Arabidopsis thaliana: one gene and its partners. Each later gene encodes a partner of the first gene's protein in a complex. Each region holds a gene or a part of one and is shown in the gene's direction. Other genes may lie near its edges. The genes, in order: AT1G02740, HAM1, AT3G24870 and AT3G24880.

Region 1 (6,156 bases):
CTGTTTATGAAGTCAATTTTTGAAATGTTGGATGCTCTCGAATTGGATTTGCAGTTACGAACAGAGAACACTTATACGGACAAAATTCTGAGGTTCGTTATATAAAGCAGTGGGAAGTTAAACAACGTTGTAGTAACTGGGTTCGTTAGCGTGTTAAAACAGCATGCTTTCAAAAAGTTGCATCGCCCACCGTGGGGCTCGAACCCACGACCACAAGGTTAAGAGCCTTGCGCTCTACCAACTGAGCTAGACGGGCTTGTTGACTATATTCACACTATTGTTATACTCATATAAAAAAAACACATCCCAATTTTAACTAGATGCAGGAAAGAAATTTGCAAGGACGGTGCTCTGCGACAAAAGATTCTTGTGAAGAAACAAACTGAAAACTCATCAGCTTATATTATAAGGCTAAAGCTAGTGTTATGTCTGTAAAAAAGATGCATATATATAAATAGAGCTGAATAAAATTACAACAATGACAATCACCTGCCTTTCCCATTGGCGACTTCACATCTTTATTTTACTCAGAAGAGTCACATTCATCATCAAACATGGCTGATGACAACAGTCCCTGTACAAACTCACACTTCTTTGCCTTCTCCAATTTATCACTATCCGATAAAGGACACGACGATGTACCCTCTTTTGCTGCTGACGAATCCTTAATCGGATTCTTGTCTTCTACACTTGAATCAGGCAGCACAAGCTTGGTCTGATTTGGTAATGCAGAATTGTTGATGAACGATAAAAATTGATCGGAAACATGTTTAGAGGGATGCTGATGATGATTCATAGATGGTGGCAACTCATCAAGATGAGGTTGAAGATATTTATCAGATAAATATGGATCTTCCCTGTAAGACATTTCCTTCTGCTCACTGTAAAATTATCGGTCAAGGAATTTCAAATAAATCACATTCATTATAGCGACGGAAATTTGACTTGAAAGGTTTTGAAAAGAAACAAAAAAGGATATCTTCAAGACATCTCTATGATGTGATGTTATATGATCCACCATATGCATCTTCACCCTTTTGCTACATACAGGACATATCTACAAAAACCACAAAACAACCAAAACGAATTGTAAGATGATGCTACCACATGACAATTCACGGAACCAGATTAATAATGTTCCATCATACTACTTATATATTCATTTCTTTAGCTCGTAAAACCAATCTATGCTTCAAAACAGAGAGCTCAAGTCACCTACTCTCTATAGCAAGTATGTAAAGCCAAAAAAAGTGTCAAAAGTATTAATATCCTAAAACCTTAAACTGATCAATGGAGAGTTATGTAAAACCCAAAGAGTAACTTAAGATAAGAGTGGCATGTTTCTCTATTAAAACTATTTGCAATAGCAATCAGATTCTCAAACGCATCAATCTAAAACAAATCCTAATCAAAATTATAGATTGAAGTTATGTTTCCCACAATCCGAATAACTAAGCTGTGTAAAACTGCTTCATGTGAAGCTTGAGTGTGAAATGAAAAGAGCAGGAGAGATAGGAAGTGAATTCACAAACCCCATTGTTAGCTTCATGACGATGTTCTTCGTCGATATGGTGACACAATTCAACTAAATCATAATCACTTGCGCAAAACGGGCATGGATACTCCACTGCTATATCGTCGTCAACTTCTTCAAACTCTTCCAAATCTTGATAAGGCCCTGAAATATTCACCACTAATTAACTCGAGAGCAAAAGAGAAAAAAAAAGTCTTCTCTCATCTAAAAAGCAAAACGTAAAGCTACAATTTTTAACTTAAACGACCAACTACAAAAAGTCATCAAAACAGAACTCAACTCAATCGAAACCCAATTAAGACCAATCTTCAATCATAAACCCTAAAAATGAAGTTTGAAAGAAAAATTGAGGGGATTTGGATAATAAACCTGATTGATACTTAGCAGCAGTTTCCGATCGATAGCTTCTAGAAGAACCAGATGAGCTAACGCACCACATATCGTCTTCCATCTGCTTTGTCGGAGCCTTTCTTATGTAAAAATCTCAGATAATTGATGAGAGACCTTCTTCGTCGTGTCAGCTAAATACCCAATTGTGTAAGAGATAGCAGAAAGAAAATGTCAAGAAACTACTCCACGGAAAGGCCAAACCTTTTTTTAATCCGCCGAGTCTTAATGGACAAGAATACTTCGGGTGGTAAGAGTGAACTACTATTATACCCTTACATTGCACTGAGCCTTTTTCTCAGCTAACTCAGGGGTGTTTTTGTCCTTTTCTTGTAAGGATGTTACTGTTATTGCATTGCTCCCCAAGTTAATTATCAGTAAAGGCCTGACTTGAAATTATATAAATGGGCTTAAAGTCAAGATTTTGAAATGATATAAATGGGCTTGAAGTCAAGATTTTGAAATTATTTAAATGGGCTTGTAGGCCTAATAATAAAAGCCCATGTTAAAATCTGAGAATTTTTAGATTCTGATAGACGGAAAATCCCAATTTTCCCGGAAATTTTCAGACAAAATCGCGTTGAGATTCAACAACTTTGAGTGAGTTTTTTTTTTTGTCATTTACCTTTGTCGCTTCGACGTGAGACGAGCCGTGGAAGAAGACGAAAGGGCTCTTAAGCTCTCTTTACTCTTTTCTTCTCCTCCTCTTTTTGAGATGGGAAGCCCTAACGCCGCCGCCGAGACGGATCTAACAACCGATGATTTCATCGGAGACACACGACGGGACTCTGGTTCTGATACAGAGACCAACACCGATTGTGACGGAGAAGATTTGCCTCTTCTTCTGCTACCTGCTCCTCCCGGCCACTTCGAAGAAGGAGAGAGAGTTTTAGCCAAACACAGTGATTGCTTCTACGAAGCCAAGGTTAGTGAAATACACTCTCTGTATTCTTGAATTAGAGTGTTCTTCTCTGCTTATGCTTTATGTCTCTGATCGTTTCCTTTTTTTTTTTTATAATAATATTCTCAGGTTCTTAAAGTTGAATTTAAAGACAATGAATGGAAATATTTTGTGCATTACATTGTAAGTAGATACTGTATATGTTTAAAATCATTCTTTTGAGCTATTTTGCTTCTATCTTTAGTTTTGAAGATGTAAATGATTTCTTTTGGCAGGGTTGGAACAAAAGGTTAGAGCTTCATCCAATATAGTTACTGGCTTCTAATCGGTTTGAAATCATTTGAAACTATTTATAAATAAGAGAATTCTTCATATGGTGATTTACTGATTTGTTTGCCAAGTCTCAGTTTTTTGATAATGTAAAAAAGTCTTTGACTCTTGTATCTCTTCTATACAATGATAGTTGGGACGAATGGATAAGGCTGGACTGTCTGTTGAAACATTCAGATGAGAATATTGAGAAACAGAAAGAACAGGGTTTGAAACAGCAAGGGATTAAGAGTGCTATGGCTTGGAAAGTGTCAAAGATGAAACCTAGAAGCCCTAATGGTCAGTCAGCTTCTTCTTTTGTTTGTTTTGCATATTCTTGTCTCGATGGATATCTTGCTGCTTTTGTGGATATTCAGAGTCTCTATCAGGGACTCTCATTTGGTCTTGCTTGCTTTATTCTATGTCGACTAAGTAGAAGTTGTTGAGATTAAAGTATACATACACATCTTTCGTTGTTAGTTGAGATATTGTGTCAGTTGAGATATTGTGTCAGCTGAGATTTTGTTCAATATTTTCTTAATTTTTGCAGTTGCTAGAGGAAGAAAGCGGAAGCAAGATTCTGTTGATACGGTAATCGCTCCTTTAGTGGATGTATTTGCTTAATCTTTCAGCTTCCAAATATCCAGGGATTTTTTTAATCAGGGGAGTCTTACTCATGTCTTGTTGTTTGCTGAATACAGGAGAAGAATGTGCTTCCCTCTGACAACCTTTTAAGTTTCAATATTCCACCAGCATTAAGGAAGCAACTTCTTGACGATTTTGAATTTGTTACTCAGATGCAGAAGGTATTTCTATCAGCCTGTTATTTCTTCTCTCAATTCTCAAACGGTCTTTTCTGTGTGTTTTGACGCAGTTGACCATAGTCTTTTGATTCATTTAGTCAGAGAAAAAATATTCTTGTAGTCGCATGAATATATTTGTTGTGAATGTCATATTTAGGTGCATATGTTAAGGAATTTATTTTAAGTCATTTTTGGGAATTGTCTGAGCAGCTTGTGCAACTTCCGCGTTCTCCAAATGTGGATGGCATCTTGAAGAAGTACATTGACAGCCAAATGAAGAAACATGGCAGGTAAGCTCTTTGTGGATTATAGTTTCTTTCTGCTGTCAGTTTCCAACAGTTACACTTGTTAATCTCTTTTGTTGCTATTCTCATATACTTAAAGAGAGTATAAATCATTTGTATATGCTCCATGGATAATTTGGTTGACAGATAAAGCGTATTCCAAGCTTCTGATATATCTAGTACTTTCTTTGGTGAATCTATATAGGGTAACAGATTCATTAGAGGAAATTCTGAAAGGCTTGCGTTGCTACTTTGACAAAGCTTTACCGGTGATGTTGCTTTACAACAATGAACGGAAGCAGTACGAGGAATCCGTATCAGGGGGTGTTTCTCCTTCAACTGTGTACGGAGCAGAGCATTTGTTGCGACTCTTTGGTAAGGCCAGTTTTTGTAATCTGCAAATCTGCCTTTATCATGTGGTTTAGTTGTCAAGATAAGACTATATAAATATTGAGTTTTGCAGTGAAATTACCGGAGTTGCTAGTACATGTGAATATGGCAGAAGAGACATTGAAGGAATTGCAGGACAACTTTGTTGATATTCTCAGGTTTCTTCTTCTTGTTCTCCTACTTAACTCTTTTTACAAGTATTTAAAGACAAATAACAAAAACAAAATGATAAAGCAGGTTCTTGAGGAAGAATCAGAGTGTGCTTTTTGTATCGACATACAAAGCAGTGGAAGAAATGGAGAAGAAAGAAGGTTAGGAAATTGTGCCTAATGACGTGTTCTTGTAAGTATGTGCAGCGAATCTTCTCTTTGTAGTATTTTGTAACGAGACCTAAGACCATCCTGACCATCCTTATTGATGGTCTCTTAACATAACTCTTATGTTAAGAGATATGTCTTATAATTAACAAAAGTGACTTAAAGTCTCTTATATAAGAAATTTTGTTAGTTATAAAACATGTCTCTTAGCATAAGAATTGTTTTAAGAGATCATCAATAATGATGATCTAAGAACTATTATACTATGTTCCGTCTCGATTTTGAAAGTACTTAAACGTCGTTATCGTGTTTGTCTCGGCGTTTTAAATTCCACTGTATTAGTAAGAATTTATTTTTAAAATAACTTTAGTCATTTTTAATTATCTCTTCTCCCTTTTCAATTATTAATGATCATAGTAACTTCTCTTGATTTGTAAATATGCTACATAGTTGATCTTTTGAATATACGAATGAAAACATATTATAATAGTATGTGTTCAAAATCTTTTGAGTTTTATGAGTACAGAACTATATGTTTAATGGGCAGATTAGTATATAAAATTACCAGTGCATCAGAAGGAATAATGATCTACTCGAGTAGTATATCAAAATAATACTATTCAAATGTATACCAACGACAATGAGTTCAAAATCATCAAACCCCATGGGATGATGAGCAAATAATATTTTTATCAGCTACTCTATACATCATTTGATGATAATATGCAAAAATTGTATACCAATGAGTTCAAAATTATCAAACCACATGGGATGAGAAAAAAGCATATTACTATTTTTAAACAGCTTCTCCAATATAAATTTATTTGACCGTTACGGAAAGGGAGAGAGATACACACACTCTTTCTCTTTTATTATTTTCCGTTTATTTGACTTTTCTTCTTTATAGATCGACCTGGTCCCACGTAATCTTTTCAAACTTACCGTTTGGATTCGATAATCACCGTCCGATCTCACATGAAGCAACGTGAATAAAATGAACGGTTTAGATCTATCGACCGTTTATAGCAATACCTTTCTCCTTTATAATCTCTATATCTCTCTCTCTCTGAATTTCGAAAATTATAATGCTCTTCTGCTTCGTACTAGCTGCTTCAGCTTCTTCTTCTTCTTCCTTAGATTCAAAATCTCTCTTCTTCTGAGTTTCTGATTTTCAAGTTTGAGAACTACTCTTTTCCTTCTAAATCTTTGATTTTTTTCTCTCGTGATTTTT
Region 2 (5,721 bases), on another chromosome or scaffold:
ACGATTTTATCCACCGACTAGTCCGGTTTATTCTAAAACCGGTCTTATTAGTGTTCGTATATGGTTTAATTATTTTGATGCTTTTAGTTCAATTATGAGTCGATTATTTGAACTGATATCGAAAACTGTAGACTAGTCAATGACCTACGAACATTCACTTTCAATAATTTATGTAAATGTTTCCACCTAAAATGATATTAAAAAAAGTCATACGTCTTTTGATTTTGATTCGCATAGCAGTCGACGTCGTCTTAAAAGCAGTACTAGTTTATGAGGTCGATAACTATTCTGCATTAAAATTGTTATAAAAAAATATATAGACGACGTTACCTTTCTCTTTTAAGATGACACTTTTGTAACCTTATCGCAATTTTTAAAGTGTAAAACATCTCTGAAGCGATAACACGTATAATGCATACAGATAAAGCAAAAAGTTACCTAAAGATATATAACGAATATACAAATATCTCTAGTACTTCCCATTTCTTAAGAAGCCTTTTCCCCCAAATCTTCGTCACTTAAAATTTTTGGTATGATTAGTCAATTGATTGAGAAATATTAAATTCCAAATATTCAGGTGATCTCTAAAGATTGTTCTTCTTGGCAATTTGAAAGTTGTAGCAAAGACGAAAGTAATAAAGTAACGGTCATATTAAATTCATGAAATACGATAATTTAAATAGAGATTTTACGAAAGTAGTTAATGCAAATGTAAATCATTCAACAAGGCGATCAAGAATCCCGGAGACAACACCACAAATACGTCTCAGACTAGCTTCACGCCGGCGAATCTCCACCGGATAAGCCAACCCTTTAACCCGCCTAAAAATATTCCGGCAAACATTAGGATAATCCTGCGCCGCCAACACATGCATGGAGGCATAGTCATAAGCTTCATCATCAAGATCTTGAATCGTCAGCCGGAGAGAATCAGCGGCGAGAGCATACTTCTCGGAGCAATCTTGTAAGACCTTTTTGAGAACGGTGTCTTTTACGGTGGCGGATAGGTTTCCAGCGATGTAATTTGCGGTGGAGGTGGCGTTTGTCATACCAACGCCGACCATAATGGAGGCGAGACCTTTTGTGTCGGCTGTGGGACTTCTTGGGTCGGATTTGAGAGCTGAGACGCAGAATTTGTAGTAGTTTGTGGTTTTGCAAGTTGATTCGATTATTGTTGTTGTGTTGGATTTGGCTGAGATTAGGGTTGATGCTGAAAAGGTTAGGGTAACGAGGAGGAGGAAGATGAGAGAAGAAGCCATTTCAGGAAGAAGGTTTTGAGCAACTGTTTACGGAGAGATAGAGATGGAAGAAAGAGGATTCTTGTCTTTATATTCTGAGCAGTTTCTTGAATTACATATTTTACAAAATAAATACAAATGATAACGTTTCCGTTTATCATTTGTAATTGCACTAAATGAGGAATGATTTTCGCATGTAGTGTGGTAGTTTATACTAATATTGACCTATCAAGATTTAAATTCACATGATGCAAATTGTTGGTCAAATAATGAATTAAATTAAAATACGTTTTTCCAGCTTCGTCATTTCATTACATTTGAGTATCTTTACTTTATTTTTGAAGAATTTAGAATTGATGATATACGAACAAGATATTTGTCGATGAATCAATCATTGTAGGTAAAAGAATCAGCCACTTCAACACGTTATTTCCAAAATTTGATAACTAAGTTTTGTTTGCTCAACCAAAAAAATTCTGTCTGTTTTAAAGATTTCGTCACTCTTTTCTCATTTTTTCTTACAATTATACAATTTCACATCATTATTATGAAAAAGGATACACGGTGTGTAGTAGCTACAAAAATTAGAAAGATGAATATATGTCACCAAATTAAATCATTTTATTTAAATTTTCCCTTTAGTCAAGTTGCCATATAAGTATATAACGTGTTTACATGTGAACAACTGAAATAGGAATCAATTCTATTTTTCTTCATTCGAATTTCAAAAGTAAGTAAGTCATCCACTTCAATTCATAACCGAAAAATAAAAGTAAATTGATAGTATGTAAAAGTAAAACATTCTTTAAGAAAAATGAGATGTAAAATTTCACATACAAGATACAGTAAAGTGACCATGTGAATCTTTTTTGTTCATAAAAAATCATTTTGGTTAATCTAGAGGAACATGGTGTGCGAATCTATGACCATAACTTCAAGGACACGATGATGAGTTGTGTTTTTCGTCTTTGCTTCTTGGAACTTTGTGATTTTTTGATCTGTGAATCTTGTGATTAGTACGAATCATAAAGCCTTGTTTGGCTGTTTCCCATTCACGACAAAATACTGACTCTGTCACTTATTATTTATCTCTCATTATCTCTTTAGTTTTTATAAATTGTTTGCTCCTACTAATCATTCTTTAAATGTAACCTGGCGATTATAAAACTAAACATAAGCCAACAGTTATAAAACGTGTATTAACGACGGTAAGAGATTTTTTGCACCCAAAAAAAAAGGACGGTAAGAGAGACATATAGTACAGGCCAATTATAAAGATAGGCCCAATTGAGCATTCAAAGTTGTTATTGGGCCACACTCCTTCCAAATGATGTTCTTTATCCGTATGAGAAAAGAATCCACCCGGAAAAAATCTCCGACCCGACTAAAGAAATGGGATCGTCTGCGGATACAGAGACGGCGATGATAATCGCCACACCGGCGTCGAACCATAATAATCCGGCAACCAACGGCGGAGATGCGAATCAGAATCATACTTCTGGTGCGATACTCGCTCTCACGAATTCAGAATCGGATGCTTCGAAGAAGAGAAGAATGGGGGTGCTTCCGCTCGAGGTTGGTACTCGCGTGATGTGTCAATGGAGAGACGGAAAATACCATCCGGTGAAGGTTATCGAGCGCCGAAAGAATTATAATGGTGGTCACAATGATTACGAGTACTACGTTCATTACACAGAGTGTATGTCGTTTCCTCCTTTCTCTATCTGAAATTTGTGAATCTAGGGTTTATAGATTGGAGCTGAAATTTCGAAGAATTGAATTAGAGGGCTTTGCAATTCAAGTTGTTTTGAGTATCACAACTCTTGTGAAACTGCAGTTAATAGAAGATTGGATGAATGGATTAAGCTTGAACAGCTTGACCTTGATTCAGTAGAGTGTGCTTTAGATGAAAAAGTTGAAGACAAGGTATTAGCCATTTTTCTTCAAAGTCTTGAGCTTTCCTCTCCGTAGTTTGCACTGAAACATAGAAGTTTGTTTGTGGTAATAGGTGACTAGCTTGAAGATGACACGACACCAGAAACGGAAGATTGATGAGACTCATGTAGAGGTAAAGTGATTGGTTAAGTTAGTTAAACTTTGTTGTGGTTTTAGTGAACTGTGTGGCATGCTATATATTCTGATGTTTTTCGATATTTTGTATAGGGTCATGAAGAGCTGGATGCTGCCAGTTTGCGTGAACACGAGGAGTTCACGAAAGTGAAGAACATAGCTACGATTGAGCTTGGGAAGTATGAGATTGAGACGTGGTACTTCTCTCCTTTTCCTCCAGAATACAATGACTGCGTGAAGCTCTTTTTCTGTGAGTTTTGCCTCAGTTTTATGAAGCGCAAAGAGCAGCTTCAAAGACATATGGTGAGCAACTGTTTTTTTTATCATTTGTAGCATTTTAATTGTTTTGTCTTTACAGTTATTTTTAGTTTCACACATACCTTTTATGGGTCATTCTTTTTACTTAAGTTTTGCTCAATCGTCTTTTATCTATGCAGAGGAAATGCGATTTGAAGCACCCCCCTGGGGATGAAATCTATCGAAGCTCTACTTTGTCAATGTTTGAGGTAATAGATTGATGTTTTCATCCTTAAACTGTTTGCTTTAGGCTTACGATACTTGTTTGGAAGCTAATAAATGTATTTAGAATTGAATTTTCACGACCTGGGAGTTTATTTGTAATATCTTACAGGTGGATGGCAAGAAGAATAAGGTCTATGCACAGAACCTCTGTTATCTGGCAAAGTTATTTCTTGACCACAAAACTCTTTACTATGACGTTGATTTGTTCCTGTTCTATATTCTCTGTGAATGTGATGATCGTGGATGCCACATGGTTGGATACTTTTCAAAGGTATCAGCACACTTTGGCTCTTGGGTCTGTTATATACATGTTCTGTTTCAATTTGATTGTCTGATGAAAAAAATGCAATTTCTGTTGGTACAGGAAAAACACTCAGAAGAAGCTTACAACTTGGCTTGCATCCTTACACTTCCTCCATATCAAAGGAAGGGCTATGGCAAATTCTTAATAGCCTTCTGTGAGTTTTTGTTTTTCATTCAACTCTTCTTATTTGTTCTCACCTCTCTCTATAAAGCTTACACGTTATATTGTGTTATAGCCTATGAACTCTCAAAGAAAGAGGGCAAAGTCGGGACACCGGAAAGGCCGCTCTCTGATCTAGGGTTAGTGAGTTACAGAGGTTACTGGACTCGGATTTTATTAGACATTTTGAAAAAGCACAAGGGAAACATATCTATCAAGGTATGTATATCTATATATCCGTAATGATCCTTTTTAGCCTATCTGTCAACAGAATAATTCATATATTCAACTTTTTTAAATGTAGGAGCTGAGCGACATGACAGCGATTAAAGCAGAAGATATATTAAGCACCCTGCAGAGCTTGGAACTGATACAATACAGGAAAGGACAACACGTAATCTGCGCGGATCCTAAGGTACTGGACCGACACTTGAAAGCGGCAGGCCGAGGTGGTCTTGATGTGGATGTGAGCAAAATGATATGGACTCCTTACAAAGAGCAGAGCTAAGAGGGCATTACACTTCAAATAGTTATGGTTATGGTCTACTTTTAATCTGCATATCCTTAGATGACTTTTGTCTGTAACAATTTAACACGCACTCTGTTCAATAGATCTTGTAACTGTAGGAATCTTTTGTCTGGATGGTAAAACGATCAGTAGTAACTTTGGTGTTTCATTCTTGTTCCATTCTGATTGACAACAGTTTGGTTAAAATTTGGAATATTTGAAAAAATGCCGAAAGAGAAGTTTTATAACTAAATGTTAAAAATTTCTGGCTTTCTACTTCGGCTAGAGATCTCCGGATATCAAAAACAGAAAAGATATCAAGGGATATGTGAAAACTATAATTAAGATGACTATAAATGAGATGTAATGATACAGAACAAAAAAAGTTTGGAAAATTTTAGTTAGGGTTCTTTGTGCTCCTTTGAACTGCAAATACACTCTGGATATGGATTCTCATAAAAGGCTTCTTCAGTTCTAAACCGTGCACGTCCTTTGATCCCCTGCGTTGGTCCTTTCCTTCTCCTCGGTGCACCTTGTCTGCAAAACCGATCAAACAAATCCTCTTCTCGCATCAAAGATGTGCTTTTTTTTATAGGTTTATTGTTTAAGAAGCAAACGTATGACTCTTTTGCTACCTGTCTTTATGCATTTGATTCACAAAATTGGACAACTTTGGTCCTTCTTTTAGCTGTCCTCTCTCCATCTTAACGAAGAGTTTCACTAGTCCTTTCCTGCATACAACACCAAACTTGTCATGGCCTATAACAAAATGACTAAAAGATTAATGCTTTTTTTTAAGGTAACAGAAGGAAGGAGATAGAACCTGTCGGGAGTGATAGTCCTGCGATGCCCTAGAAATCTGCGGTGACCTTCAACTGCTCTTGCCATGTTTCCAGAATGTGAAGGAACAAACACATCAC
Region 3 (5,977 bases), on another chromosome or scaffold:
AGTAATTTGAGTTCTGGATTTACCAACCAGACAACTCCTGTTCAGGCGTACCCAGGCCATCTTTCCCAGCAGCATCAGATGTCACCGCAGTCACATGTGCTTGGCAACTCGCATCATCCTCATCTCCAGAGCCCAAGTCAAGCCACTGGGGCACAGCAAGAAGCATTTGCTATCCGTCAAAGACAAATTCACCAGAGGTATTTGCAGCAACAGCAACAGCAACAGCAGTTTCCAGCATCTGGTTCTATGATGCCACATGTACAACAACCTCAGGGCTCTTCTGTTTCTTCTTCTCCACAAAACAGTCCTCAGACTCAACCACCTGTTTCGCCCCAGCCATTATCCATGCCCCCGGTGTCGCCCTCTCCTAATATTAATGCTATGGCACAACAGAAACCTCAAAAATCTCAGTTGGCGCTTCATGGTTTGGGTAGGAGTCCTCAGTCTGGTACTTCTGGAGTGAACAATCAAGCTGGAAAACAAAGGCAGCGACAACTTCAGCAGTCTGCAAGACAGCATCCACACCAGCGGCAGCCAACACAAGGTCAACAGCTGAATAAACAACTGAAGGGGATGGGTAGAGGCAACATGATCCATCAGAACATCACTGTTGATCAGTCACACCTGAATGGCCTTACCATGCCCCAAGGAAACCAGGCTACTGAAAAAGGAGAGATAGCGGTTCCAGTTAGGCCTGATCAGCAGTCTAGTGTGGGGACTACCACGAGCACGAATCTGCAGTCTAAACCATTTGTTTCTCCCTTGTCTTCAAATCATTCACAGCAACTGCCAAAATCATTCCCTGGTGCTTTGCCTCCATCCCCTCAACAACAGATGCAATTACATTCAGACAATAGCATCCAAGGCCAGAGCTCACCTGCGACCCCATGTAATATTTTATCCACCTCTAGCCCGTCAATTGCACCAGCGGTTGCACCTTCTAACCATCAGCATTTGTTGATACACCAAAAGCAGCGCAATCAAGTGCAATCAACAGCTCAGCGAGTTGTTCAACATAATCATCTAGGGAACTCTGAGTTATCAAAGAAGTCCCAAGCTGAACGCATGCCACGTGTTCCACAGTCTGTAACCAATACTACCCAAACTGTTAGTATGGGTACGACCAAGGGTATGCCTCAAGCGAGTAATGATTTGAAAAACATAAAAGCAGTTGGTTCTACTGCGGTGCCTGCTTTGGAACCTCCATCTTGTGTTGCTTCTGTGCAAATCACTGCTTCGAAAGTAGTAAACAGTTCCAATACAGATTCAGCAGGAAATGATCCAGTATCAACACCGAACCAAGGACTAGCTCAAAAGCACGGGATCAAGGGCGTTACACAGAGACAACAACAGTCTCTACCTTCAGAAGAAAAGAGACCGAAATTGCCAGAGAAGCCGACTGTACAAAATCAGAAACACCTTGCTTCTGAGGAGCAGCCTCATTTAGAAGAAGCACAAGAATTATCATCTTCCAAGCCTCCTGATACAAAAGTGGAATGAGAGGCATGACAGATGAACCTAGAACCTTGAGTAGCTGTAGATCCTGCAAAGCTTAACGCTGGCCCTTACCGACAACAACCCTGTACAGGAACCCAAACTGGTTTGTGTCCTCCACCTTCAGAGTCGGGTCTCTTTTTGGCATTAACATCTTGAAGCTGCTGGTGGTCTTTGGATTTGGCTGAGAGTATAACATAACAAACTCTACAGATTGTGGAGTTTGCAGATTTGGTAAGGCCAGAGGGAGATCAATAGGGAAGAAGTTGGTGGATAGGATAAAATTCATGCAGGTCTTTTTGCCTCTTTTGATGAACACAAAGAGAAGAAGGTATATCATAATGTAAATTACCCACTTGCATCATAGAGAAGTAGTCTCTTCTTCTTCCCATCTTTTGGTTTGGGAGAGAGTAGAAACAGTTTATAATGTTTTGTATAGAAGTCTCTACTCCTCCATCCTTGTGGCATATACTTAGGGCCCTTTTTTAACCTTTTCCTCTAACTTATTCTCTTGTAGGTTTAGGTTAATTTGATGAATGTATCATTGTTCTTTTATGGTTAAAAAAAAAGTTCACTTCACTCCCATAAACATTAGCTTACATAGTGCATTTCTTCAAATCCGTTACCTATGTTACAAATCTAAAAGCAACAATGACTAAATCTCTACGTTAGAAAGAATCAAAAGCATTGTTGATAAATTGAAGAAGCTGAGTTTGAGAACTCTGAATCAAATTTTAGATTTTTTGGATACTTCGGATAAACCCGAATCCGAACCCAAAATATCTGATCCACATCCGATCTAAACCCAAATTTTAATATACCCGAATGCGTCCTAGATTTCTAAACCCGAAACCGAAAACTCCGACCCGGACTCGATCCGAATTGCCTATGGACAACGTGGGACAAATATAGTTTTACAAAACCAGCGACATGCCTGAGATTTGTAGAGATCCATGTCACACAACATGAAACTGTTATAACTTTATTACTACAAAAAGGCCCGAAACAAGACCAAGCAAACAAAAAGAAAGGCCTTGTTTGGTCAAAATCTCAGGCCCAGAATTCGGAGAGAGAGAGAGAGAGTCGCATACTGCGTCGAGGAGAGAGAGAGAGAGAGAAAGAACGAAAAAAAAACATCAACGAGAACTCAATTTTTTTTTTTATCTCCCGAGAGGGAAACCAAAATTGAAAACGAAAAATAGCTGAATTAGGAATCAATCTCGCAACAAGCAAGCAATTTCCATGGATTCCTTGTTTTGGGAGGAGCTTCTTCTCTTCTACTCTCTGAGAAATTGATTCTCGTCTTTCGATTTGAAAGAAAAGCTTATAAGAATTTGGAAGCCCTAGGAGAGAGAAACTAATTTTAGAATTTGGTGATTTTGCCCGAGTTTTGTGCCCTAGCTTTTTGCCTTCGTTCTGTTCTGTTCTACGTTCAATTTCCAGGTTTAACTCTCTTCTCCTTCACTCTTCTATTCAAACCCTAGAGTCCAGCTTTGCTGGAGCTTCTGTGATTTTGAACCCAGTGCTTCTTTTATCAGGAATGTGAATTGTTTGCTGAAATTGTGTCTCTGTAGTTCTTTGTTTCTACTCGTTTAGCTTGGAAATGCTCAATACTTGATTCAAGAGTTCGTAGGCACGCCATTAAGTAGCTTAAGCTGATCATTTTCTAACTTTGGTTCCTAGTAATCGTTGTTAGTGTTGGATTAAGCTTCTAGAACCTCTCTGCCTTGAGGCAACATTTCATTTCTTTGGTATCTTAGAGTTCTATTCTATCTCTGTTATGCTGGAATACGTAGTTGTGAGCTTCTCGGGGATCAGAATGGTATTGGCGTTAGATATATAGAATTCTCAGTCAAATACTAGATTCTGGGGAGTTATCTTCACTTTGATGTTCCTTTGGATAGTGGCTAGAGTATATGAGTGAATGTTGTTTTACTTTTGACATCTTCTGAGCAGTTACATCTTGAATCTGATAAGCTACTCTATTATATGATATCATATGGTACTGCTTTTTGCATCATGAGAACATACATTTTACCAGTGTTATTTGTAGGTCCAACATTTAGGTGTAACTGATTCTAACTTCTGCAGTATGATCATTCGGAATGCTGTAAATACTGAAAGCTCTTGATATAATTTTTCAGTTAAGCTAGAATTCGAATTGATGGGGTATTCGACGTGGTGATGCATGGAAGCGTTTCAGGATATCTTCTAGTAAATGCTGAGGTTGATTCCATGGGAGGAGTTATCGATAGTGGAGGTGGTATTGGTGTTAAAACATCTCCGCGCCGAACAGCTATTGAGAAGGCTCAAGCGGAGCTAAGGTATTTCAGATTGAGACATCTTGATCTTCTGCAGTGTGTTTAAATGCTCTATAATTTCTACAGCTTTCTATTATTTCCAATGTGTAACAAAGATGCTTATTTCAACAGGCAAGAGTATGATGTTCGTGAGGAAAGGAGGAGAGAATTGGAGTTTCTAGAGAAAGTATGAATACCTATTTCCCTGTTCTATAATTGTTTTGTGTGTGTGTGTGTAAGAACTTATGATGACAAGCCTTTACTCTTCTATCTGCTTCAGGGCGGTAATCCCTTGGATTTCAAGTTTGGTATTGCAACTTCACATAGCGTCCAATCTACATCACTCACAGATCAGCAAGCAGAGCATTTTGTAAACAGGTACATTCGTGTTTGGTGTAGTTCCCACATTAATTTCATGGAATAACTCATCATTATTTGCCCATAACCCCCACAGTGAAGTCAAAGATAGTTTTGCCCTGACTGCCTCACCACATGGTGACTCGGTGGAGAGTAGCGGTAGACCTGGAGTTCCTACAATTTCTGAACCCAATACAGCAGATAATCTTTTACTGTTTGATTCTGAAAACAAGTCAGTTGAAGGGGAAAGAAATTTGAGACATCCTAATAGGCAAAACAGAACTTCTGAGTCAGAACGATCTTCCAAAGCACACACCAACCAGAATACCAAAGAAACAGAAGATTCTGCCATCTTTCGCCCGTATGCTCGGAGGAACAGATCGAAGATAAGTCGGGATCCAGCACGGTCAAGCTCTACGGATTTAGTTCAGAATCGTGGTGGTCTTGCAACGTCTATATCTATTCGCAGAGGATCAGTGGAAGGAAAGGGTTGCATTCCCGAAGCAGCCAATCAAAAGGATATGCATACAACTTCTGTATCTTGTCCAGTATTTGCAAATTCAAATGGTAATATCGTTCCGAAAAATAGAGTTTCCAGCAATTCGCTGAATACTAAGGTGGATGGTGAACCTGTTGTACGAGAGAGTACTGCTGGATCCAAGACTAGTCTATTGAAAGATGAAGCCGACATTTCGTATAGTAAAAGCTCTGCATATTTGCCAGTTGGAGAGTCTGGCCTTGCTGGGGAGAAGGCACAACTAGTTTCGACTGGTGGTTCTCCCAAAGCTGCAACAATAGCTGGCCAGAAAAATAGTTCTACCCAACTGAATGGCCTAAGAGATTCCACGGTAGAGGAAGAAAGCTTAACAAATAGAGGAGCTACAGGGACTAATGGGTTAGAGTCAGAGTCTTCTCATGCGAACAACGTAGAAGTAAATGTAGATAATGAAAGAGATCTTTATAAAGTGGACAAACTTGACTCTGATGAAATCTCTATGCAGAAGACTTTGAGAGTAGAGGGGTTACTAGATCAAACAGTTGGTGAAATGACCAAAACTAAGATTGAAGATGAGACAGGTCAATCTACCACCATTATCAGTGAGTGCATTCCTGAATGTGAAATGCAGATGAAATCGGTTAAAATTGAAAATCAAAGTCACAGAAGTACAGCTGAGATGCAAACTAAGGAGAAAAGTTCCGAGACTGAGAAAAGGCTTCAAGATGGGTTGGTTGTACTCGAAAATGACAGTAAAGTTGGTAGTATTTTATCTGAAAATCCTAGCAGCACGTTGTGCTCTGGAATTCCTCAGGCATCTGTAGACACAAGTTCTTGCACAGTTGGCAATAGTTTATTGTCAGGAACTGACATTGAAGCATTAAAACATCAGCCGAGCTCAGATGCAGTTATGTTAGATACTGTCAAGGAGGACGCTATTCTTGAGGAGGCCCGGATTATACAGGTTTTCTTTTTAATCTTGACTTGATGATTTTTAGCTATCTAGTTTTCGTAGAAGTTATGATGTTATGTACCTACTCATCTTTTTATGTATGACATAATACATTAACAGGCAAAGAAAAAAAGAATTGCCGAATTATCTTGTGGTACTGCACCAGTGGAGGTCCGTGAGAAATCTCAATGGGATTTTGTCCTCGAAGAAATGGCATGGCTGGCAAATGATTTTGCGCAGGTCTGGTCTAGTTAAATTATCTTTCTAACATAAATTCTATATATCTGCATGGAAAATGCTGCATTTTGTGGATTTTTGTTCTGTTTATTTACTACGGCGTCTGGTCATTCGTCTTCTTAAATGAGCTTGTCCACTTTT
Region 4 (6,019 bases), on another chromosome or scaffold:
CACTAGAGCCTTAACCTTGGCAAGTTTGCTAATCTCCTCGGGATGAGCCAAAAGTACCAAAACTCTTTGTTCAAGCTGTTGGGTTAAGTAGTTGTAGCCATTCCTATCCACCACCATATCTCTTGTTGAAATCCTCTTAAACTCGCTCCAAGAATGCCATTGGAATCTGCCGAAACAACGCAATAGGCTGCACAAAAAGAAAAGAATCTATTGTCATGTCCATGGAAAAATATGAGAGAATTATAAACAAAGGACACTAAATACGAAAAAGAAACTGTATAGTATTGCTCATATATCACCTAAGTTCAAATACAAGAGGCAAAGCAAGCTAAAGACATAACTACATTCAACAGTTTCACTTCCGTTTAAGCAAAGACTCAAGTCAATTACAATTGCCTTCTAAATTCTCACAAACAAGCCAATAATACATAAGCTGAATGGAATCAGAACACCAAGAAACATATATCATGATAAATCCAAACGAGAGATACATCAATAAGTAAAATAAGAAAAGTCTCATCAATCAATGGAAACCTTAACAGAAGAAGAACCAAGTCATAAATATACAAATGAATGAGCAAATGAGCAAAGAGATCCAGTGAAATCAATTGCAACACGAACACGAATATACATCTAAGTCTACCACATAGATCGAAACTAGGCTTTCAAGAGGGCGAAATCGAAACTCATATATACGAAAAACCAGGAAAAAAGAGAACATGTTCGGTTTGAGAAGGGAGAAGGGAGACTCACTGAAGCCATTTTCGACATTTGTTGTAGGAAAATTGGTATCGGAGAAGGAAGCTTCTTCTGGCAACACTGTGCAGTGACGGCAGTAAAATTCCCTTTTTGCAGAAGGCAAAAAAAATTACTTCTTTTTTTCCAACTCGAAATTTTTACTTTGGCTGTAAATAGTAAAATTGTTTTTGAGGAATTTAAAATGGTTACATCATTTACATGTTGAGGTATACTTGAGGAATTTGTGAGGAATTGTTCATGTTTAAGAGTTTTATTTTTGTTTTTAAGTTGTTTCATAAATTAATAAAATTATTATTCTTAGAACTAAACAACGCAATAGGCTGCACAAAAAGAAAAGAATCTATTGTCATGTCCATGGAAAATATGAGAGAAGACTTCCACTAGAAGTTGTTAGTAAGGAAAATTCTAAACAGAAAAAAATAGTTTAAATTTTATTTTAAAAGTAAAAATTAGTAGTTTATTTTATTAGTTTATGCGTTTATATAATATTTCTATTTGATAAAAAATAAGATTAAATGTATTACATTCTTAATATTTTGTAATTTGTAACTTTTTACAAATTAAGTTACTATCTTATGTTTAATAAAATTATTAAATTATAGAAAATTTCAAGTTTAATATTTTTTCATATGTTTTATTTGGTATTAGTCTCTTAGATTTCTAAACCCGAACCCAAAAAACCCGGACTCGATCCGAATTGCCTATGGACAACGTGGGACAAATATAGTTTTACAAAACCAGCGACATGCCTGAGATTTGTAGAGATCCATGTCACACAACATGAAACTGTTATAACTTTATTACTACAAAAAGGCCCGAAACAAGACCAAGCAAACAAAAAGAAAGGCCTTGTTTGGTCAAAATCTCAGGCCCAGAATTCGGAGAGAGAGAGAGAGAGTCGCATACTGCGTCGAGGAGAGAGAGAGAGAGAGAAAGAACGAAAAAAAAACATCAACGAGAACTCAATTTTTTTTTTTATCTCCCGAGAGGGAAACCAAAATTGAAAACGAAAAATAGCTGAATTAGGAATCAATCTCGCAACAAGCAAGCAATTTCCATGGATTCCTTGTTTTGGGAGGAGCTTCTTCTCTTCTACTCTCTGAGAAATTGATTCTCGTCTTTCGATTTGAAAGAAAAGCTTATAAGAATTTGGAAGCCCTAGGAGAGAGAAACTAATTTTAGAATTTGGTGATTTTGCCCGAGTTTTGTGCCCTAGCTTTTTGCCTTCGTTCTGTTCTGTTCTACGTTCAATTTCCAGGTTTAACTCTCTTCTCCTTCACTCTTCTATTCAAACCCTAGAGTCCAGCTTTGCTGGAGCTTCTGTGATTTTGAACCCAGTGCTTCTTTTATCAGGAATGTGAATTGTTTGCTGAAATTGTGTCTCTGTAGTTCTTTGTTTCTACTCGTTTAGCTTGGAAATGCTCAATACTTGATTCAAGAGTTCGTAGGCACGCCATTAAGTAGCTTAAGCTGATCATTTTCTAACTTTGGTTCCTAGTAATCGTTGTTAGTGTTGGATTAAGCTTCTAGAACCTCTCTGCCTTGAGGCAACATTTCATTTCTTTGGTATCTTAGAGTTCTATTCTATCTCTGTTATGCTGGAATACGTAGTTGTGAGCTTCTCGGGGATCAGAATGGTATTGGCGTTAGATATATAGAATTCTCAGTCAAATACTAGATTCTGGGGAGTTATCTTCACTTTGATGTTCCTTTGGATAGTGGCTAGAGTATATGAGTGAATGTTGTTTTACTTTTGACATCTTCTGAGCAGTTACATCTTGAATCTGATAAGCTACTCTATTATATGATATCATATGGTACTGCTTTTTGCATCATGAGAACATACATTTTACCAGTGTTATTTGTAGGTCCAACATTTAGGTGTAACTGATTCTAACTTCTGCAGTATGATCATTCGGAATGCTGTAAATACTGAAAGCTCTTGATATAATTTTTCAGTTAAGCTAGAATTCGAATTGATGGGGTATTCGACGTGGTGATGCATGGAAGCGTTTCAGGATATCTTCTAGTAAATGCTGAGGTTGATTCCATGGGAGGAGTTATCGATAGTGGAGGTGGTATTGGTGTTAAAACATCTCCGCGCCGAACAGCTATTGAGAAGGCTCAAGCGGAGCTAAGGTATTTCAGATTGAGACATCTTGATCTTCTGCAGTGTGTTTAAATGCTCTATAATTTCTACAGCTTTCTATTATTTCCAATGTGTAACAAAGATGCTTATTTCAACAGGCAAGAGTATGATGTTCGTGAGGAAAGGAGGAGAGAATTGGAGTTTCTAGAGAAAGTATGAATACCTATTTCCCTGTTCTATAATTGTTTTGTGTGTGTGTGTGTAAGAACTTATGATGACAAGCCTTTACTCTTCTATCTGCTTCAGGGCGGTAATCCCTTGGATTTCAAGTTTGGTATTGCAACTTCACATAGCGTCCAATCTACATCACTCACAGATCAGCAAGCAGAGCATTTTGTAAACAGGTACATTCGTGTTTGGTGTAGTTCCCACATTAATTTCATGGAATAACTCATCATTATTTGCCCATAACCCCCACAGTGAAGTCAAAGATAGTTTTGCCCTGACTGCCTCACCACATGGTGACTCGGTGGAGAGTAGCGGTAGACCTGGAGTTCCTACAATTTCTGAACCCAATACAGCAGATAATCTTTTACTGTTTGATTCTGAAAACAAGTCAGTTGAAGGGGAAAGAAATTTGAGACATCCTAATAGGCAAAACAGAACTTCTGAGTCAGAACGATCTTCCAAAGCACACACCAACCAGAATACCAAAGAAACAGAAGATTCTGCCATCTTTCGCCCGTATGCTCGGAGGAACAGATCGAAGATAAGTCGGGATCCAGCACGGTCAAGCTCTACGGATTTAGTTCAGAATCGTGGTGGTCTTGCAACGTCTATATCTATTCGCAGAGGATCAGTGGAAGGAAAGGGTTGCATTCCCGAAGCAGCCAATCAAAAGGATATGCATACAACTTCTGTATCTTGTCCAGTATTTGCAAATTCAAATGGTAATATCGTTCCGAAAAATAGAGTTTCCAGCAATTCGCTGAATACTAAGGTGGATGGTGAACCTGTTGTACGAGAGAGTACTGCTGGATCCAAGACTAGTCTATTGAAAGATGAAGCCGACATTTCGTATAGTAAAAGCTCTGCATATTTGCCAGTTGGAGAGTCTGGCCTTGCTGGGGAGAAGGCACAACTAGTTTCGACTGGTGGTTCTCCCAAAGCTGCAACAATAGCTGGCCAGAAAAATAGTTCTACCCAACTGAATGGCCTAAGAGATTCCACGGTAGAGGAAGAAAGCTTAACAAATAGAGGAGCTACAGGGACTAATGGGTTAGAGTCAGAGTCTTCTCATGCGAACAACGTAGAAGTAAATGTAGATAATGAAAGAGATCTTTATAAAGTGGACAAACTTGACTCTGATGAAATCTCTATGCAGAAGACTTTGAGAGTAGAGGGGTTACTAGATCAAACAGTTGGTGAAATGACCAAAACTAAGATTGAAGATGAGACAGGTCAATCTACCACCATTATCAGTGAGTGCATTCCTGAATGTGAAATGCAGATGAAATCGGTTAAAATTGAAAATCAAAGTCACAGAAGTACAGCTGAGATGCAAACTAAGGAGAAAAGTTCCGAGACTGAGAAAAGGCTTCAAGATGGGTTGGTTGTACTCGAAAATGACAGTAAAGTTGGTAGTATTTTATCTGAAAATCCTAGCAGCACGTTGTGCTCTGGAATTCCTCAGGCATCTGTAGACACAAGTTCTTGCACAGTTGGCAATAGTTTATTGTCAGGAACTGACATTGAAGCATTAAAACATCAGCCGAGCTCAGATGCAGTTATGTTAGATACTGTCAAGGAGGACGCTATTCTTGAGGAGGCCCGGATTATACAGGTTTTCTTTTTAATCTTGACTTGATGATTTTTAGCTATCTAGTTTTCGTAGAAGTTATGATGTTATGTACCTACTCATCTTTTTATGTATGACATAATACATTAACAGGCAAAGAAAAAAAGAATTGCCGAATTATCTTGTGGTACTGCACCAGTGGAGGTCCGTGAGAAATCTCAATGGGATTTTGTCCTCGAAGAAATGGCATGGCTGGCAAATGATTTTGCGCAGGTCTGGTCTAGTTAAATTATCTTTCTAACATAAATTCTATATATCTGCATGGAAAATGCTGCATTTTGTGGATTTTTGTTCTGTTTATTTACTACGGCGTCTGGTCATTCGTCTTCTTAAATGAGCTTGTCCACTTTTATGTTACTGGAACATTTTTCCGTGACTGTTCTAATTGCATTCTGTTACCTTTTTTCTTTTCATCTTCTAGGAGCGCCTTTGGAAAATGACTGCTGCCGCACAAATTTGCCATCGAGTTGCTTTGACTTGTCAGTTGAGATTTGAGGAACGAAATCAGCACAGAAAGCTGAAAAAAATAGCTTCAGTCCTATCTAATGCTATCTTACAATTCTGGAGTTCTGTGGAGGCCGAGGTTCCTGGGGAGCTGGAGGAGACGAGCTTGGGAATTGTTAAGGTATTTGACTGTCTGACCTCTTTTATGGTTTTTGATGACAATGATGATCATATGGTTCTTTCCTTTTCTTTTAAATTAGAATTATGCATATATATATACATTCGTTGAATTAAAGTATTGACAACACTGACATTCTGAGAAACCATATTATTATGTTTGTGACTAGACTGCAAAACAACACAATTCTACTGATATTTCCTTCTTATGATTGAGAAGCCTGATCTTTCTTATTTGCTTGAATTGTCTTTGATAATTACCTACAGGAGTCTCTGGTTCTGTCGCTCCTTATGTTATGATTTTTGTAAAATTTAATGGTATCATACTAAATAATACCTTGGTTGTATGCAGGAGACTTGCCAAGAATCTAATTGTTTGAATGGCAGAAGATGTTTAGCTGCGGGTGTCAAGGAATATGCAAGTAGATTTTTGAAGTACAACAACTCTTCCATCTCCTATCATTCAGCTGCACCGTCAACACCTGACAATATGTGCGACCCAGAAATATTGGATATATCTATGGTTGATCAGCTTACAGAAGTATGAATTTCTGAAAAGATTTTCCGCAGCCTCAGTTGAACACTATTGTTGTGGATAGTTCTACATTATTGCTAATTGAGCTTTATTACTGTGCAGGCAAGCCTCTTTTATTCAGTTCCATCTGGTGCAATGGAGGTGTACCTTAAGTCCA

What was found.
Region 2: AT1G02740 (region 1) and HAM1 share a complex: the UniProt entries of both Arabidopsis thaliana proteins name them as parts of the nuA4 histone acetyltransferase complex.
Region 3: AT1G02740 (region 1) and AT3G24870 share a complex: the UniProt entries of both Arabidopsis thaliana proteins name them as parts of the nuA4 histone acetyltransferase complex.
Region 4: AT1G02740 (region 1) and AT3G24880 share a complex: the UniProt entries of both Arabidopsis thaliana proteins name them as parts of the nuA4 histone acetyltransferase complex.

Annotation. Positions count from the first base shown.
Region 1 is NC_003070.9:598,502-604,657, reverse strand, and holds AT1G02740 (MRG family protein), read left to right. Parts: upstream 1-2,458; 5' UTR 2,459-2,636; coding exon 2,637-2,846; intron 2,847-2,951; coding exon 2,952-3,005; intron 3,006-3,097; coding exon 3,098-3,111; intron 3,112-3,285; coding exon 3,286-3,431; intron 3,432-3,681; coding exon 3,682-3,722; intron 3,723-3,832; coding exon 3,833-3,937; intron 3,938-4,144; coding exon 4,145-4,224; intron 4,225-4,423; coding exon 4,424-4,593; intron 4,594-4,681; coding exon 4,682-4,766; intron 4,767-4,845; coding exon 4,846-4,924; 3' UTR 4,925-5,328; downstream 5,329-6,156. Other genes in the region: AT1G02750 (Drought-responsive family protein), read right to left, coding at 524-883, 980-1,057, 1,533-1,678, 1,904-1,985. UniProt on the Arabidopsis thaliana protein: Chromatin remodeling factor. Acts as a 'reader' protein by binding to H3K4me3 and H3K36me3 to control histone H4 acetylation. Increases the transcriptional levels of the flowering time genes FLC and FT.
Region 2 is NC_003076.8:25,827,413-25,833,133, reverse strand, and holds HAM1 (histone acetyltransferase of the MYST family 1), read left to right. Parts: upstream 1-2,464; 5' UTR 2,465-2,630; coding exon 2,631-2,937; intron 2,938-3,075; coding exon 3,076-3,164; intron 3,165-3,246; coding exon 3,247-3,306; intron 3,307-3,401; coding exon 3,402-3,611; intron 3,612-3,745; coding exon 3,746-3,814; intron 3,815-3,939; coding exon 3,940-4,101; intron 4,102-4,194; coding exon 4,195-4,288; intron 4,289-4,369; coding exon 4,370-4,512; intron 4,513-4,597; coding exon 4,598-4,801; 3' UTR 4,802-4,974; downstream 4,975-5,721. Other genes in the region: C/VIF2 (cell wall / vacuolar inhibitor of fructosidase 2), read right to left, coding at 717-1,259; AT5G64600 (O-fucosyltransferase family protein), read right to left, coding at 5,203-5,338, 5,437-5,532, 5,625-5,721. UniProt on the Arabidopsis thaliana protein: Histone acetyltransferase which may be involved in transcriptional activation. Acetylates 'Lys-5' of histone H4 (H4K5ac). Essential for gametophyte development. Involved in DNA repair after UV-B exposure.
Region 3 is NC_003074.8:9,081,980-9,087,956, reverse strand, and holds the start of AT3G24870 (Helicase/SANT-associated, DNA binding protein), read left to right. Parts: upstream 1-2,537; 5' UTR 2,538-2,937; intron 2,938-3,638; 5' UTR 3,639-3,678; coding exon 3,679-3,818; intron 3,819-3,926; coding exon 3,927-3,981; intron 3,982-4,034; coding exon of another isoform or gene 4,035-4,074; coding exon 4,075-4,172; intron 4,173-4,248; coding exon 4,249-5,611; intron 5,612-5,719; coding exon 5,720-5,839; intron 5,840-5,977. Other genes in the region: AT3G24880 (Helicase/SANT-associated, DNA binding protein), read left to right, coding at 1-1,500. UniProt on the Arabidopsis thaliana protein: Component of the NuA4 histone acetyltransferase complex which is involved in transcriptional activation of selected genes principally by acetylation of nucleosomal histone H4 and H2A.
Region 4 is NC_003074.8:9,092,277-9,098,295, reverse strand, and holds the start of AT3G24880 (Helicase/SANT-associated, DNA binding protein), read left to right. Parts: upstream 1-2,758; coding exon 2,759-2,898; intron 2,899-3,006; coding exon 3,007-3,061; intron 3,062-3,154; coding exon 3,155-3,252; intron 3,253-3,328; coding exon 3,329-4,691; intron 4,692-4,799; coding exon 4,800-4,919; intron 4,920-5,127; coding exon 5,128-5,331; intron 5,332-5,679; coding exon 5,680-5,868; intron 5,869-5,964; coding exon 5,965-6,019. Other genes in the region: VAMP728 (vesicle-associated membrane protein 728), read right to left, coding at 1-117. UniProt on the Arabidopsis thaliana protein: Component of the NuA4 histone acetyltransferase complex which is involved in transcriptional activation of selected genes principally by acetylation of nucleosomal histone H4 and H2A.